Mus musculus: one gene and its partners. The main gene of each other region encodes a partner of the protein of the gene in region 3 in a complex. Links are inferred from orthologs where the notes say so. Each region holds a gene or a part of one and is shown on either strand. Other genes may lie near its edges.

Region 1 (3,515 bases), on a different chromosome or scaffold from region 3:
GAGAGGGGCATGATGGTCTGTCCTCGGATGACTGATCAGGATTTGGATCAATCTAGTAGGAATAAGATAAAATTTACAAAGTTAACTTGGTAAGGTGAAGGAAGAATGCAACACTTATCTGCTTTTCAGTAACAATCAGCAAATATAACCAATATAATCAGAGGCTATACATAACTTCTTAGGCTAATTATACACTGGTGTTCCCTCCCTCGGAAGTGCTACATGAGAACGCAAGGGTACTACTAGCATTATAGTTCTGCATGAATAGTTCAATTGCACACAAGTTCCTGGCGGGCTCTCTTTTAGCAGGGCAGTTTCACTCAACATCAGCGGTGCGTACACTCAGATATAGCACTGGAATATAGCATCAAACCGCTCATGTCCTTTGTAAAGTGACTCTTTTGTTCTTGTTCTAAAGGCTAGTGCACCTTTTCCTGAGGGTCTCTGGCTCCTGTGAAACTTAAGGGTCTTCTGGACAAGTCTGATCCATTTGAACTTAAATGTCAGACACCCACAGTACCTCACAAGTTTTCCACAAAATACACATCTCTGAAGAAAACAGCCAGTTGTCTTGTAGTTAAGTTACATTCCAGAGCTATTTTAGTGTTGTACAAGTTTTAAAGTAACTTATAATCATCTTGAAATGGGCAGAATTTATGAAAAATTAGATGAAATTAATACTATTTATATATTCATTTAAAAAATTTCCCCATGAAAGCTATGAATACTCAAAGTAAGCCAGAAGCAAAATAAAAAAATATAAGAATAAAAATACAGTAATAGAATTTGTGAGAAATGGTAGAACATTTTCATAATCAAACACATATTTTATAGACCACAATAAGACAGGAAAATGTCTAAGCAGAAATGTGTAAGAGCAGATTCTGAGTACCCTGTAGTCGATGAGGATGGCTTTAGGGAACCATGTCTCCAGTTATGGTTCACAGCAATTGGTGGCAAAGTAAAAACAAGATCCTTTGTGTCTAATGCATATAAGACAGTGGAATAAATTACATAATCCAGGGGGTGATTCTCTTGATTTATAATTATTTTGGTTATCAAGGTCAATTTGAAAGGTCCTATAAAAATGTCTACTGTTGGCTCGTCATGTAAGAAAGCCCCTTCTGTCCTTCCTCTGGCCTGCCTTTCCTGCCTATACAGTCCCATCTTTGGAGGGCCAGTCATAGTTTAAAATTCAGCTTTAAGAATCATCTTTCTCAGAGAAGCACTCTGATTACCTAAGCGCCAATAAACTCCTCATTACCTGAGTGCTGTTTCCTAACACTGTTAAAGTAGGATTTCACTTTGAATCTTTTTTTTTTCACTAACTAATTTGTGAGATTATCCAAAGTGCTTATCTTTACTCACGAGTGCCCAATGTGATCAACATGAAGAGCATAAATAATTTAGCTGTGTTTTTTAAAAAGTCATTTGGAAATATGCTAACTTTTCTTATGACTAAGAATGCTAAAATATGTAAAAACTAGATTGGAGGACTATGAATAATATAAATTCTAGATATTTAATTAATGTTTACAAAGTTATAAGGTTATTTCTTAAAAATGCTAATGAATCAACTAGAGTTTGAAGGTCATATTATTTCCTGGATGAAGTCCTACGTGTTGAAGTTAGAAACTTTGACAATTGTAACTTTTAAGCTGTTCTAAATTTTTACTCCTGAGATAATCAAGAAGCAACTGTCTTGCTAAAGCCTTTTTAAAACCGTCTACTGCTGCTTCCTCGGAGACTCAGTACATTGTTATTTGCCTTGGTGCTTACCTCTGAATAGAGAGGTGGGGGCAGGAACCGAAACTCCTGGATATAAGCAAACAGTGGTCCTTGGAGAGCTCTCTCAAAATCATCACAAGCACCCACTGGGGCGAGATTATTCCGTCTCTGTTCCTCCGTTACAACCTCTGCATAGCTGGGTGGTGCTGAAGGAGAAAGATACACGCAATTCGAACAACATGTTCTTATGCATGTCAAGATACACAGAATAGTAGATATTAAAAAAGTGTCATGTGAAAGTGTAATTATTTGTTTGGTGATTAAAACAAGAGAGACATATAACCAAACTTAACATTAAGGTCACATGTGCTAAGGAAAGGTACAATTTAACTAGGAATATAATATACCAAAACAAAAGAGAAAGTCTTAATAGTACTCGAGTCCATTTAAAACTGTGTTATGTAATTACCTTCAGGTCTTTCAGGAAGGGCCAGAGCCAGCCAGTTCATACTCATGCTACACTGACTGCTCACACTTGAGGTTCTGCTACCAAACGGGTGCAGAGGGATGGTCCCGATGACGAGGGGCAAACTGAGAAGCAAATCCATGGCCCCAGGAATATCCACGTACACCTACAGAGACAGAAGCTTCGGTCAGCACTCCACGTACAACCGTCTTTAAAACACACCCTAATTCTCATATTAGCTGTGATTTCCTTTTAATTTCTTCACAATTTCTCTTTTATGTGCCATGTTCTAGGCTTATGAGAGGTAGAATTACAATGCAAAGTTTCACATACACATTTACACCCCACTTTAAGTGGACTACGAAAACCATACTTGGATAAGCTAACACTACAACCCCACAACTTTAAGTCATAAAAACTTCATACTTTACACCTACCATTAGCGAATATTCCACTCGGATTATACTACAGTCGAGGATGGAGGGTGAAACCGGTGGGATTTTGAGCAGCTTGCCATTCCACGTCTCTGTCTTCCCAGAGGATAAAGACTCGCCACGTAAGTTTGCCACAAGCTGTTTTACTTCCTTCATTTTCCCTTTGGCATAGAAGGCCTGCGTCTGGTAAATGGCCGCCTTTGGCACTACCATTCGGGAAGAGCAGTTCTCAATCTCGGCAAATATCTGGATTGATTCACCTGCAGAGGGAAGCCGTTACATTTACTATTAGAAAACAAGCCAACACCCACTATAAAGTGTAGACCTCTGAAGCTCAACTATGAAGCCCATATAACTCTATGGCAGAGAAACCATCCTGGACATGAGCAAAGTGACTTCCAGTTAAAACAAGACCTGCTCCCTCTCGGTATCCCAAGAGAACAGCAGCCCCCACTGTAAGAAGAAAACGGACAGAGACAATGGGAACAGCTGTCCTAGGGAAGACTGGGTGCTTACTGTTGGTATTTGTCATATTCGATGTGCATACACAAATACTTAGTAAATTGCTTTTTGGGGGCTTCAACCTCACACATACCTGGGGTGTAGCCCTTCCTTTCAATCTTGGCACTTAAGGATATGGGGCCTGAGGTGCAGAACCAGCAACAGAGTGTCTTTTCTTTTGTGCCTGCTTGGGGTGACTGTAAAAAATAGAGAAAAAACATCAATGTACAAACTCATAAAAATGCCACATTTTAAAAATCAAATTAGAGAATTGATTTTGTTCCCTTAGTCAATGGTTTTAAATGACACCAACTTCTGTCTTTATATAAACTTCCATTCAATAAAGAAAAAAAAATGCTTTACATCCTACTCCAAAGCAAAGTTTT
Region 2 (3,635 bases), on a different chromosome or scaffold from region 3:
CCTTAATACTAAATACATCTTCGGCAAGTTGGGCTCGCTCTTCTCCCTGTATCTGGGTGCTATTACTTCCGAGTCAACTTCATCTTTGGGAAATGCTGCCAGATTTGCCCTTGGATTCTGTTTTGGCTTGGGTTGAAACTGCCTTATTTTGACTGACCCCTGAAAAAAGAAACTATATATGTGAAACCATCAATTTACAGTCTACAATCACTGAGTTGTTTTCGTGGTTTTTGTTTTTGTTTTTCTTAGGAGGTGCCCAGACATGGGTGACTGGAGCGCCTTGGGGAAGCTGCTGGACAAGGTCCAAGCCTACTCCACGGCCGGAGGGAAGGTGTGGCTGTCGGTGCTCTTCATTTTCAGAATCCTGCTCCTGGGGACAGCGGTTGAGTCAGCTTGGGGTGATGAACAGTCTGCCTTTCGCTGTAACACTCAACAACCCGGTTGTGAAAATGTCTGCTATGACAAGTCCTTCCCCATCTCTCACGTGCGCTTCTGGGTCCTTCAGATCATATTCGTGTCTGTGCCCACACTCCTGTACTTGGCTCACGTGTTCTATGTGATGAGAAAGGAAGAGAAGCTGAACAAGAAAGAAGAGGAGCTCAAAGTGGCGCAGACCGACGGGGTCAACGTGGAGATGCACCTGAAGCAGATTGAAATCAAGAAGTTCAAGTATGGGATTGAAGAACACGGCAAGGTGAAGATGAGAGGTGGCCTGCTGAGAACCTACATCATCAGCATCCTCTTCAAGTCTGTCTTCGAGGTGGCCTTCCTGCTGATCCAGTGGTACATCTATGGGTTCAGCCTGAGTGCGGTCTACACCTGCAAGAGAGATCCCTGCCCCCACCAGGTGGACTGCTTCCTCTCACGTCCCACGGAGAAAACCATCTTCATCATCTTCATGCTGGTGGTGTCCTTGGTGTCTCTCGCTCTGAATATCATTGAGCTCTTCTATGTCTTCTTCAAGGGCGTTAAGGATCGCGTGAAGGGAAGAAGCGATCCTTACCACGCCACCACCGGCCCACTGAGCCCATCCAAAGACTGCGGATCTCCAAAATATGCTTACTTCAATGGCTGCTCCTCACCAACGGCCCCACTCTCACCTATGTCTCCTCCTGGGTACAAGCTGGTCACTGGTGACAGAAACAATTCCTCCTGCCGCAATTACAACAAGCAAGCCAGCGAGCAAAACTGGGCGAATTACAGCGCAGAGCAAAATCGAATGGGGCAGGCCGGAAGCACCATCTCCAACTCCCACGCCCAGCCGTTTGATTTCCCTGACGACAGCCAAAATGCCAAAAAAGTTGCTGCTGGACACGAACTCCAGCCCTTAGCTATCGTGGATCAGCGACCTTCCAGCAGAGCCAGCAGCCGCGCCAGCAGCAGACCTCGGCCTGATGACCTGGAGATTTAAACAGGCTTGAACATCAAGCTGCCAATCGATTGTGGAGGAGAAAAAAAAGGGTGCTTGCAGAACGTGCACCTGGGGTGTTCATTTCGTTCCCGTGGAGGTGGTACTCAACAACCTCAGTAATGAGGCGTAGAAAACAAAGACATTACAATATCTAGGTTCCTTGGGGGGTGTTTTGGGATAGCTAGGCGGCAAAAGTAGGGAAAGGGGAGGTATGTAACGGTATTTAATGTAGAAGATTCAAAGAGCTTAAATTCTAGTAAGAGTCTCATTGGATGAAACATAGATAGGGCTTTCTCTCTCTGCCCCCCAACTGAACCTTAAGAATGGTTCTGTATACATGAGTGAGTGGGTGATATATATTTTTTTTAATTTTTGTTTTACTGAGATTCTGCCATAGAGCTTTGAGCAGGAATCCAAGTCCTCAACATGGCATTTCCTTTATGAAAAGACAGGTTGTCCTACATCCCCGCTAAAAAACATTCCAGTGTTTAAAAACTTGGCAGTTTGCAGGCGAGCTTCCCTGGCCTGACCCTCTAGGTGTGGATGGACCTTATGCTACTATACACGATTTTCATTCTTGGTAGGTATCAATTCGAAGTTCAGACAAGGTTCAAAGAAAAAGATTGCCCATGTATTTGCATCTCAGTGGGTTCTTTTTCAAATCTGTCCCACCTTTGTGTCTTCCATATATTATCCTCAGCTGGTCCTCACCCTCACCAAATGATTTCTATCGACATTTTTAAAACAGTGAGAAAGTCTTTTTTTTTTTTTTTTTTGAGTTAGCATCAGGGAGGCAAGCCATGCTCAATATTTAACAATCGCTTCTGTCTATGTGTGGGTGTGCAAGTGTGTAAGCGTGTGTTTTGTCATTATTGGTACAAGCAGAGGCAGTATAAACTCACAGATTTGAATCGAATTCACACAGTGTTCAAATTTGAACCTTCCTCATGGATCTTTGTGGTGTGGGCCAACGTGGTGTTTACATTATAGAATTCCTGCCGTGCAAAAGTGTAAAGCACACACTTTTTCCCTAAAATATTTTTTCCACGTATCCTATTATGGATACTGGTTTTGTTAATTATGATTTTTTTTTCTTTTTTAGAATGTAGCAGTAATAGCCATTACTGAAATGAATGATTTCCTTTTTCTGAAATATAATCATTGATGCTTGAATGATAGAATTTTAGTACTGTAAACAGGCTTTAGTCATTAATGTGAGAGACTTAGAAGAGGGTTGCTTAGAGTGGACTATCAAGTGAGCCTAAAGGAACTTTGTAGTAACTGGTAATCTGGTAATTTTTGTCCTACTTAACTACACATTAACTCAGAACTTGTATTCTGAGTTTAACAGTCTTTTAGATTGACGAGCAACTTGGATGTTTGCACTAAGATTTTCTTTGAGATACTAGAGGGGGTGAAGGAGTTTTCAGCAGTGCACATGTAACTAATTTATTTGAACTGTAAGCTAAAGACACCTACCAGTTTCTTCAAGTGACTTAAAAAAACTCATCACAGATGATTGAAATGTCGAGTTATCATGTTTCCTCTTGCGCGCCAGCTACACAAGGAGTTTTTGGACAATGAGAAACTAATTTGTTTGACATTCCATGTTAAACTACTGTCATGTTCAGCTTCATTGCATGTAATGTAGACCTAGCCCATCCAATCAATGTGCTCGGGAAAGTGTTCTTTATTCAATAAAATTTTAATTTAGTATAATAAAGATAACCTGCATGTCTTGTGTGATTTAAAAAACAAAAAAAACAAGAAAACTTACCAAATTTATTCAAGATTACCAAAAGTAGATCCCATAATTACAATGTCTTGGGCTAATGAAATCCACTTTTATTTTATTTTCATCTTTTGCTTGCCGGTATCTCTGTGCAATGGTATGTTGCTGCTTGCAGTGGCCAGGAAAAAAAAAAAATTAGTGTCAAATCCCCTAGAGATAGTTGTGAACTGCCATGTGGGTGCTGGGAATCAAATCTGGCTCTTTGAAGAACAGTGTTTTGTTAGTTTGATTTTTAAGGACAAACACCATAAGCATCATTGATTTTGAAATATTGAGGTAATATTTTAACAGGAAATAAAGCATACAAATGTTTAATTGGGAGAACAGTTAAACTCCACACCAGGTCTCACACACTCATAGAATCGAACCTAGAATTTTTTGCCAGCCTCTACATTCTCTTGCCATGGCTTCCTCGATACATGGAGTTGTAGG
Region 3 (4,207 bases):
TTAAAAATAAATTTGCTTCTTTCAAATAGAATACCAACCTTGGTCTGTGACATTTGGGAGAGAAATTAAAATATTAAGCCTTTATTGCCGAGTAAGCTGAAAATACAGTAAAGGTTATGTAAACATAAATCAGAAATATATATCTATATATACAGAGAATCACCACCTCTGAAGGACAAGCCGTCTACTGTTCTCTGCTGTGAGAGTTTTATCAGTACTCGTAATTCTACCTCAGAGGCCATGCTAGTGGGCAAAGATGTAAACAAGGGCCTGCCTTGTTTATATTATGAAATATGTGGCCTGGTTTGTATGTCTTGTCTTTATAGGTGTCTAACAGCTGCCTGGGTTGTTTTAAAGCACCAGTAGGGCCCGCAGAGGACTCTCCGAGAACAGGATTGCCATTGAGATATGTTTATTTGATGTGTTAAATCCTTTTTAGGCTTCTTTACTTACCACAACACTCTCTTTAAGTGAATGAATTGCACACAGTGGAATAAAATATCCAATGTGTTCAGACTATATTGGGGTGTAGCTTTTCTGTCTAATCTGCATATGTTTTTAATGGAATGTTTACCCAGGCTATTTCTTGGCAGGATTTTAATAGTCAAAATATAAATGGCATCATTTAAAGACTGTACTACTTGGCTGCATTAAACGTTAAAATTACAGGACAAAATGGTTGGTGACAGCTTCTCCTCAGCCTTTTTTTAAAAATTTCCCCTTGAGGAGGTTATTTGGTGTTTACAACAATGTTACTGGGCTCGTTTTGTAGTTCAGTTTGTCAACTTTCACTTTCATAATTGTGTTTTGCTAAAATATTTACCTTGTTCAATTTGACGGTTAGGCTTTATGCCCCTCACCCCACGTTTTTGTATTTCCAAGTTATTCAGCTGTTTTCATTTACTCATTCCTGAAAAAATATTACAGTCCGCGTAGTCCCTGCATTAAACCTGACTAAATCTCTCAGTATGGCCATATTTTGAAATTCAATCTTTAATTTGATACTCAATCACACAGGTTTTATTTGTACCCATTTCCTGTAATCCTATAGCATTCAGTGAAAATATTAGCGGTGAGGATCACCGGGGGAAGTTGTAGGCACTGAGATTTCGGGAGTTAAATGTTCGTTTTGTAGGGCTGGGGTGAAAAACTAGGTTTCCCAGTTGAAATTGAAGAAGCTTGTTGTTCTTGCGTTACTCATTCATGCAAATTGGCGAAGGTATAATTGAAACAAGGTTGGCTGTGTTTGAGTCAGGGCTGCAGCTGAGCTCAGCTTAAAGGTCGCTGGAAATCAAGTGCTTTGTCAGTGAAGGCGTTCTGACTCCCGGCGATTCTAGACACTTGGGGAACGTCAATCTCGGGCATGGGTCGTCCTTTTCTATGAAATCTGGTATCTGAAGTTAAAGACGCCTCCCCACGAGCTTTTTCAACACCGCCGATGGTTTTTTCCTCTGGATGCAGCACAGCTGCGCTAGCCTGACTACAGACAGAGCTCTTTGTTTTGACTCTCAGCCCTGAACATGCTTGGAAATGAGAACAAATGGCACAGAGTTTACGACTGCACTTTGCCGCCAGAAGAAGCAAGACTTACCCTCTGTCGGAACCCTCTGGAGATGACTTGGATAGCCACGTTGACACACACGGCCAGAGGCGGCCCCGGATCTCAGTGGCTAGTGTGGTTCAAATGAGGCTGACCCCCAGACAGGCGCCACAGGCTCCGTGGGTAGAGCATAGATCCTCTGAAAGTACTGACAAAAAGAGCAGCTGCCTGCAGATCTCACTGCAGCCCAGATACGGAGGGTGTCTTCCATCTGACACTGTCGTGGCTGATAGGGACAGTACTTCCTCTACCTGTGCTTCAAAGGATGATGTTTGCAGCAGCAGTGGAATTGACAGTGAGCTGGACAATGGCAGCCTCAGTAACTTCTCAGCCAGTGACAGTGGGTCTTACAGCAGCAGTGGCAGTGACTGTGGGTCTTGTGCAAGCCTCGCAAGTGGAGGCTCCTCCACCGGCAGTGGTGTCAGCGACAGTAGTGGCTATGAGACCTTTTTCAGTGGAAATTTACCTTCTGACAACGCCTCCAACAGAAGCGTGCCAGTCGACACTACACCCCGTGAAGTTATGTGCGGAAGTCCCAGTAGACTTCCCTTTGCCCAGGAGGACCTGGATCGTGGAGTAGAGATTATGAAACTGCCAGTGAGTAGGAACGCAAAGGGTCCACTGAAGCGCTGCACGTCTTTGGTCATTTTCCCCAGGAGTCCTTCAAACACCCCACCAGCATCCCCGACGAGCAGAGGTGCCTACCAGACCTCACACCAGTTGGTTGTATCACCTACTGAAACTGCACATCATGAAGATGGATCTGGCACCAAAGGCTTTCTGTCAACAGCTGTCAACGGGCTTCGATTATCTAAAATGGTTTGTACTCCTGGAGAAGTCAGAGATGTACGGCCACTCCATGCCAAGGGCTCATTGCAAAAGAAAATTGTCATTTCAAATAATAGGCCCAAACAAACTGTGTGTGAGAAGTTGCCAGAAGGATTTTCCTGTGTTTCCGTGCACTTGACCCAACAAAAACCAACGACATCAGATTGTGCAAACCCCCGTGGTGGCTGCACATCAGAGAGGTTAGAACTTCAGCTGCAGTCTGATTTGGACCATGGCATGCTCAAACAGAGGGCATCCCCTTGCTTGCCAACCGCATCAGACATGGGTTACCATTTAAACATCCGTGGAGAGTTGGAAAGACCAAATTCACCGATAAGCAAAGGCCATGCTGCTTTGCAAAGAAGTGTTTCGCTGGGTGGGACATACCCAAATATTTCCTGCTTATCCAGCCTGAAGCACAATTGTTCAAAGGGGGGACCATCTCAGTTGCTCATTAAGTTTGCATCTGGGAATGATGGTAAAGTTGATAGTTTCTGGAGACAGAGAGACTTGACAAATGAACTGTCTGATGTTTGTAAGGTAAGATTCCTCTGGTCTTGAAAAAATACTTCCTGGAATTCTTAGCTATACTGATTATACTTGATTATAGCACTATCTGTTCCTTTCTGTGGCCCTTAGTGAGGAAGTTTTTAGAAAGCTTCAATTTTATATTTGTAAAGCTCTTTCTTATTTTACCAATGGATAAACTACTTTTAAAACAAACAAACAAAAAAAAAACCAAAAAAACCTTTCCTTGGTGATTTAAATCCTAAAATTCTTCCAGAACTGGCTCGATGTCATAACACTCGATCTTGGGATATTTGTTCTTCTTACCTTCAGAAATGGGATTTTCTTCTCCCTCTTAAAACACATGTATTTGTAAGATCGCTGATCAAAAAGACTATTATATTGAATGTTTCAAGCAGAGGAAAAGTAAGTGGGCTTTGCATTTACATACACCCTAGCCACAGGAATGCTGTTTGCACCCTATTTTTCCTGAGTTCCCAGTGATCGCTGTCTCCCAAAATGTAACTCACTTTTTCAGCAGTATTGATTTCTAAGTTTTATGTGTTTGAATTGGCTTAAACGTACTAGGTAGTTTCTATAATTTTCAATTTACTACACTAGTTTATTGTTCTCACAATGTTGCTTTATTTTATTAGTAATTTAGCTCTAACAGATCTTAGCCAGATTGGCATTTTATGTAATTTGGCCTTTTCAAATTATTTACAATCTTTAAAACTAAAGTAGCCTTTACCATGTCTGTATTTGGAAGGTTTTGCAAAATTCCAGGAAATTTAATTGTTTTTCTGACGACATTAGCTCTAGATTGACAACACATATGCTGGCTGGCGTGCTCTATTTCTTTCTTGTGAAGGGACCTTGCTTCTTTTCATGGCAATGCCTGTATTAAATGTTGGAGGAGTGTGGGGGGAATCCAGATAATGTCTAGACAGATGGAGTTAGAAAATTAGGTAATTGGGCTCTTTTTTCTCTCTTTTGAAATCTGGAAAATATAATCATTGTGTCCACCCAAGGTTAATCTACGCAGCTACTTCACTGGGGATAAGAGAAGATTAGATTTCAAAGTTTGATCTTTGTTTTAGAGTTATTCATTCCACTTGCAAAATTTTTCTAAAACAGTTTTTGGAACATTATAATCGGTTTAATTCTCTTCCCCAAAGTGCTGGGTCCTTAAAGCAGCATTAGTACTCTGCCAATTCAGTCGATGTTACTCACAGAGTCTACATTCAAAGAAACCTAAGAAGTTATGAATCT
Region 4 (3,515 bases), on a different chromosome or scaffold from region 3:
TACCACACCTAGAAATCTCATTATTTTAACACATTCAAAGTATTCCTTTCACGGCTGGCTTATACCCTGCCAGTCTGATGACAGACTTTGAACAGGCTTAGAACTGAGAGTTGTCTACTGAAGGGGAAATTTCTTACCCTTTGATGTTAGAGGACATTTGGAAACATCTAGAGGCATTTTTGACTGTCTCCACTGATTGGGGGCATCTTGTAGGAGAGACCTACAATGCACAGAGCTCCGTCTTTAGCCAAAAAAGAATCGGTTTCCATCAATACTTGATATTGCTCAAGTTGGAAAACCTGGTTCTACCCTTTCTGAGATCTTAGATATGAAGAATATACAACTACAATTGATAAATCACATTTGGTAGAAATGCCATAGGATTTTTGTGTCAGGATAGACCCACATCCAGCTGCTTGCTCTGCATGTGGTGCAGCCAACTGCAGCCTTGAGTCCTCTACCTTGAGCAGTCTGAAGGCAGTCATCCAGCAAGTACGGATCTGCTCATCTTCGGCACAGAGCAGACGAAGCTCCTTCATCTCGGTCTTCGCTTTGTTTGGCTACAGGAGAAACAGAAAGCGACCAGTGAAACAGTGCGAACTCATACACTCATGTGAGAGAAGGCTGTCCTCAAGCCTCAGAAGCAGGCCACCACGGTGAGATCCAAATACAACTAGTCACTGGTTATCTGTGCAAAGGCAAGGAAGCTGATCTAGCTACCACCTCCCAGGTATCCATGAAGATTCAGTAAATGACAGTGACTATAAAAAGATAACAGGTCATAAATAGGAGTTCAGGAGACAGTAGTCACCACTATGATCAACACTGCCACAATCTCACCAAGAGGAAAATTAACATGATCTTGGCTGTGGTGTATGTGCATGTATGTGCAAGCATGCATTGCTTGTACCTATGTACACATTGACATCTGTGTGTTCTGACTATAGGCATACATCTCTATCAATGTGTCAGTGTTCTCATAAATACACATAGTGGGTAGGGAGTATTGTGGTCAACCCTCATGACACACAGACAGTACACTCAGTAGTTGCAAACAATCAGATGTCAGGTCAGGAGTTCCCTCCTTCCCCTTCTTAACCAGCTTCTGCCTCTCCTTATTATGACCAGGTAAAAGCTGTAGCTGGTGCAGGAGGCTAATGGCTACCTGGCCTTAAGTCACTGAGGCCTTTTAGTGTTCCGGGGCTATTTAAAAAGAACAACAACAACAGCAACAACAACAAAACAACCCACATCAAATCATAAGCACACAATGAGGCCAGTGTGAAAAAGAAAAAAAAAAAAAAGGTTTCTGTTTAGAGTAGAAGGATCTACAACCAAATAGATACTGGCCAGGAGAAAACTCCTCTGCACAACTCCCAGTCCCAGCTCAAGTACCTTGATGCACATCCCATGTTCATTCGGCGCGTTGTACTGCTTCTTTCCAGCAATCAGGTAGAAGATGCTGCTTTCTTCCAGGTCAGCCAGCAGCTGCAGGTGTCTGGGTTCCTGCAAAACAGCAGTTAAGTGAACTGTGAGGTCACATTTTCTGGAAAAAAAAAAGTCTGTAGTGCTATAAGCTCACTTTTTCCCCCTGGTCACACACACCGAACTGAAAGGACATCATGAAATCTCAACAGCATAAACCACAAATGCCAGCTTTGTGTTACAATAGACTCACTTTGTTTTTATGAACTATGCAATTCTTAAAATTTGCTCCAGTAGAGTGAAAACCATATTTTGCTTATGAATACAGGACAACAATCCAGCACCTATCCTATGGCAGGTAGGATCTAATTTCCAAATTATGAAAACCAAGTATGCCCCTGCATTGACTGAGTCATCCAGGAGGGTCTATATTCAGCCCACAGTAGGGATCCAGGGCTGACCATCCTAGAAGCTGCCTTGCGTTTCCATCCAATTTTTGATAGACCAGTACACTGGTCCCTGTGTGTACAGTTATTATATAAATTGACTATTAATTAGTTAAAAGAGGTTCAGGGGCTTTTAAAAATTAAGCCCAAGTCCACAGCAAGAACACCTAGTACAGGGAAAGGTGGAGTGTTCTAAAACTTACTTTTGAAGTCCCCTTGGTGGAGTAATAGAGGCCAGATCTGCGCAGGCACACATACAGCTTCTTCCAAGACTTGCGTCCTACCTCTTTCACCTGCAAGAACCCCTGGATCTCAGGGCAGCTGCTGGTGTTCAGAAAATTCTGTGAAGGAATAAATTTTTAAAATTAGGCAATATGCACATAAAATAATGAAAGCAGATAACTTATTACATATAACTGAGATTTTCTGAATCATTAAAATACTTTGGGGAAGCTTAGGCAAAATGTTCTTCCTTCAAACTTCTTAAAATCCCAACAGAACTGGTATTGTGTAGAACATAGCAATGTTGGAATAGAAAGAAGCAAATGGCTCCCACTACGGTGTAGTAGGAATGCTGCTACTTTCCTTAGAAGATGGAGCATTTTGGGCATCTGCTCCTTGTCAACTTTCCAGCAAGTTTGTTTCAGCAAGAATGCAGTGTTTGCTTAGTACCTGCAGAAGCTGCGCCTGGCCACCGTTGGACTGCTGGCACCAATTGACCATCTGATCCGGGAAGAAGTTCTGAGAAACAAGGAGAAACAAGGGTATTATAGACACATGTCTGCCAATATTAAAATTTTTCCAGGTATGATAATGATCCATTTGTATTTTAGATAACAGTCCTTCTCACTCTTTTATCAAAACTTGTACATAAGAAAACCAAAAGCAAGTGAATAAATAACAGCATGGTGATGGTAGTTCTTCTGAATTACCTAGAACTATTACATTTCTTTCTTTCCAAGAAAACAGTGAAGCAGAACCAGAACCAGAAGTGGACACTGGTCTCCCCTAGCTGACGGTCAGTCTGCTTGGTGACTCAGGAAAAGACCAAAGGCTCAGAAGTCATGAATGCCCCTTTCCTACTGTGTCACCTGACAGGCACCTCCCCACAAAGGGAAACAAAATTAAGGCGTTGATGTCAGCATACCAACATACAATGAAGAAAGTGTCTGGTATTTGCTGATTATTTGATTAATTTGTTCTAGTGTTACCATCTCTACCCTTGTAGGAAGGAGACGGTCGCCATGACATCTGGTGATGATTGGGTTGTGAGGCCTGTTTAATTAAATAGTGACTCAGCTTCTTAAACCCACGTACCCATAAGTCTCAGCTTGTCACCTGACAATCAGGTTTTATTCAACCCAAGTATAAACTCCAAGATTTCAGGAGACTTACCACTGGATTCTTAAAGAACTCGTACTTCGCATAATTCTTTCTGAATAAGAATTTGCTCTCACTTGGCATGGTACTCTCCACTTGGACCACGATCTCATGGTCCTCCAGGCACCTCTCTGTAGGGAGAACCATCACATGTGAGGTGTGACAGAACCTTCAAGGCCATTTCACAAGGTCAAGAGCTGTTTTTAAGCACCAGGAACAACACTAAATTTTACTCTTTTTAATTTGCTGATGGGTATCTAAAAG

What was found. Proteins that work in one complex are often made in the same cells at the same time.
Region 1: the proteins of Nedd4 (region 3) and Arrdc3 are in contact, whole or in part, in a crystal structure (PDB 4N7H), measured with the Homo sapiens proteins. The link is inferred for Mus musculus from reciprocal best matches to the Homo sapiens genes NEDD4 and ARRDC3. Residues at the interface, in NP_001271267.1 of Homo sapiens: Glu847, Arg849, Ala851, Pro852, Phe857, Ile859, Asp860, His861, Lys864, Thr865, Thr866, Thr867, Trp868; in NP_065852.1 of Homo sapiens: Glu344, Ala345, Pro346, Pro347, Ser348, Tyr349, Val352.
Region 2: the proteins of Nedd4 (region 3) and Gja1 are in contact, whole or in part, in an NMR structure (PDB 2N8T), measured with the Rattus norvegicus proteins. The link is inferred for Mus musculus from reciprocal best matches to the Homo sapiens genes NEDD4 and GJA1. Residues at the interface, in NP_037118.1 of Rattus norvegicus: Asp416, Asp417, Tyr422, Val424, Asp425, His426, Ser428, Lys429, Thr430, Thr431, Thr432, Trp433; in NP_036699.1 of Rattus norvegicus: Pro277, Leu278, Ser279, Pro280, Met281, Ser282, Pro283, Pro284, Gly285, Tyr286.
Region 4: the proteins of Nedd4 (region 3) and Grb10 are in contact, whole or in part, in a crystal structure (PDB 3M7F), measured with the Mus musculus proteins. Residues at the interface, in NP_035020.2 of Mus musculus: Glu71, Leu72, Val79, Arg104, Ser112, Ile114, Leu115, Thr116, Ser117, Val118, Gln119, Glu134, Ile135, Leu136, Phe137, Arg138, Leu242, Pro243, His244, Pro245, Pro246; in NP_001357532.1 of Mus musculus: Ile514, Arg516, Gln518, His519, Phe521, His522, Gly523, Arg524, Asp548, Gln579, Phe581, Gly587, Asn588, Thr589, Lys590, Phe591, Ser592, Ile595, Gln596, Asp599, Phe600, Leu603, Asn604, Ile617, Arg618, Val619, Ala620.

Annotation. Positions count from the first base shown.
Region 1 is NC_000079.6:80,889,907-80,893,421, reverse strand, and holds part of Arrdc3 (arrestin domain-containing protein 3), read right to left. Parts: intron 3,327-3,515; coding exon 3,224-3,326; intron 2,889-3,223; coding exon 2,632-2,888; intron 2,361-2,631; coding exon 2,198-2,360; intron 1,973-2,197; exon of another isoform or gene 1,935-1,972; coding exon 1,780-1,934; intron 53-1,779; coding exon 1-52. UniProt on the Homo sapiens protein: Adapter protein that plays a role in regulating cell-surface expression of adrenergic receptors and probably also other G protein-coupled receptors.
Region 2 is NC_000076.6:56,387,285-56,390,919, forward strand, and holds the end of Gja1 (gap junction alpha-1 protein), read left to right. Parts: intron 1-249; 5' UTR 250-262; coding exon 263-1,411; 3' UTR 1,412-3,135; downstream 3,136-3,635. UniProt on the Homo sapiens protein: Gap junction protein that acts as a regulator of bladder capacity. A gap junction consists of a cluster of closely packed pairs of transmembrane channels, the connexons, through which materials of low MW diffuse from one cell to a neighboring cell.
Region 3 is NC_000075.6:72,691,899-72,696,105, forward strand, and holds the start of Nedd4 (E3 ubiquitin-protein ligase NEDD4), read left to right. Parts: upstream 1-1,399; 5' UTR 1,400-1,540; coding exon 1,541-2,968; intron 2,969-4,207. UniProt on the Homo sapiens protein: E3 ubiquitin-protein ligase which accepts ubiquitin from an E2 ubiquitin-conjugating enzyme in the form of a thioester and then directly transfers the ubiquitin to targeted substrates. Specifically ubiquitinates 'Lys-63' in target proteins.
Region 4 is NC_000077.6:11,943,421-11,946,935, forward strand, and holds part of Grb10 (growth factor receptor-bound protein 10), read right to left. Parts: intron 3,383-3,515; coding exon 3,267-3,382; intron 2,613-3,266; coding exon 2,544-2,612; intron 2,213-2,543; coding exon 2,075-2,212; intron 1,507-2,074; coding exon 1,396-1,506; intron 561-1,395; coding exon 462-560; intron 1-461.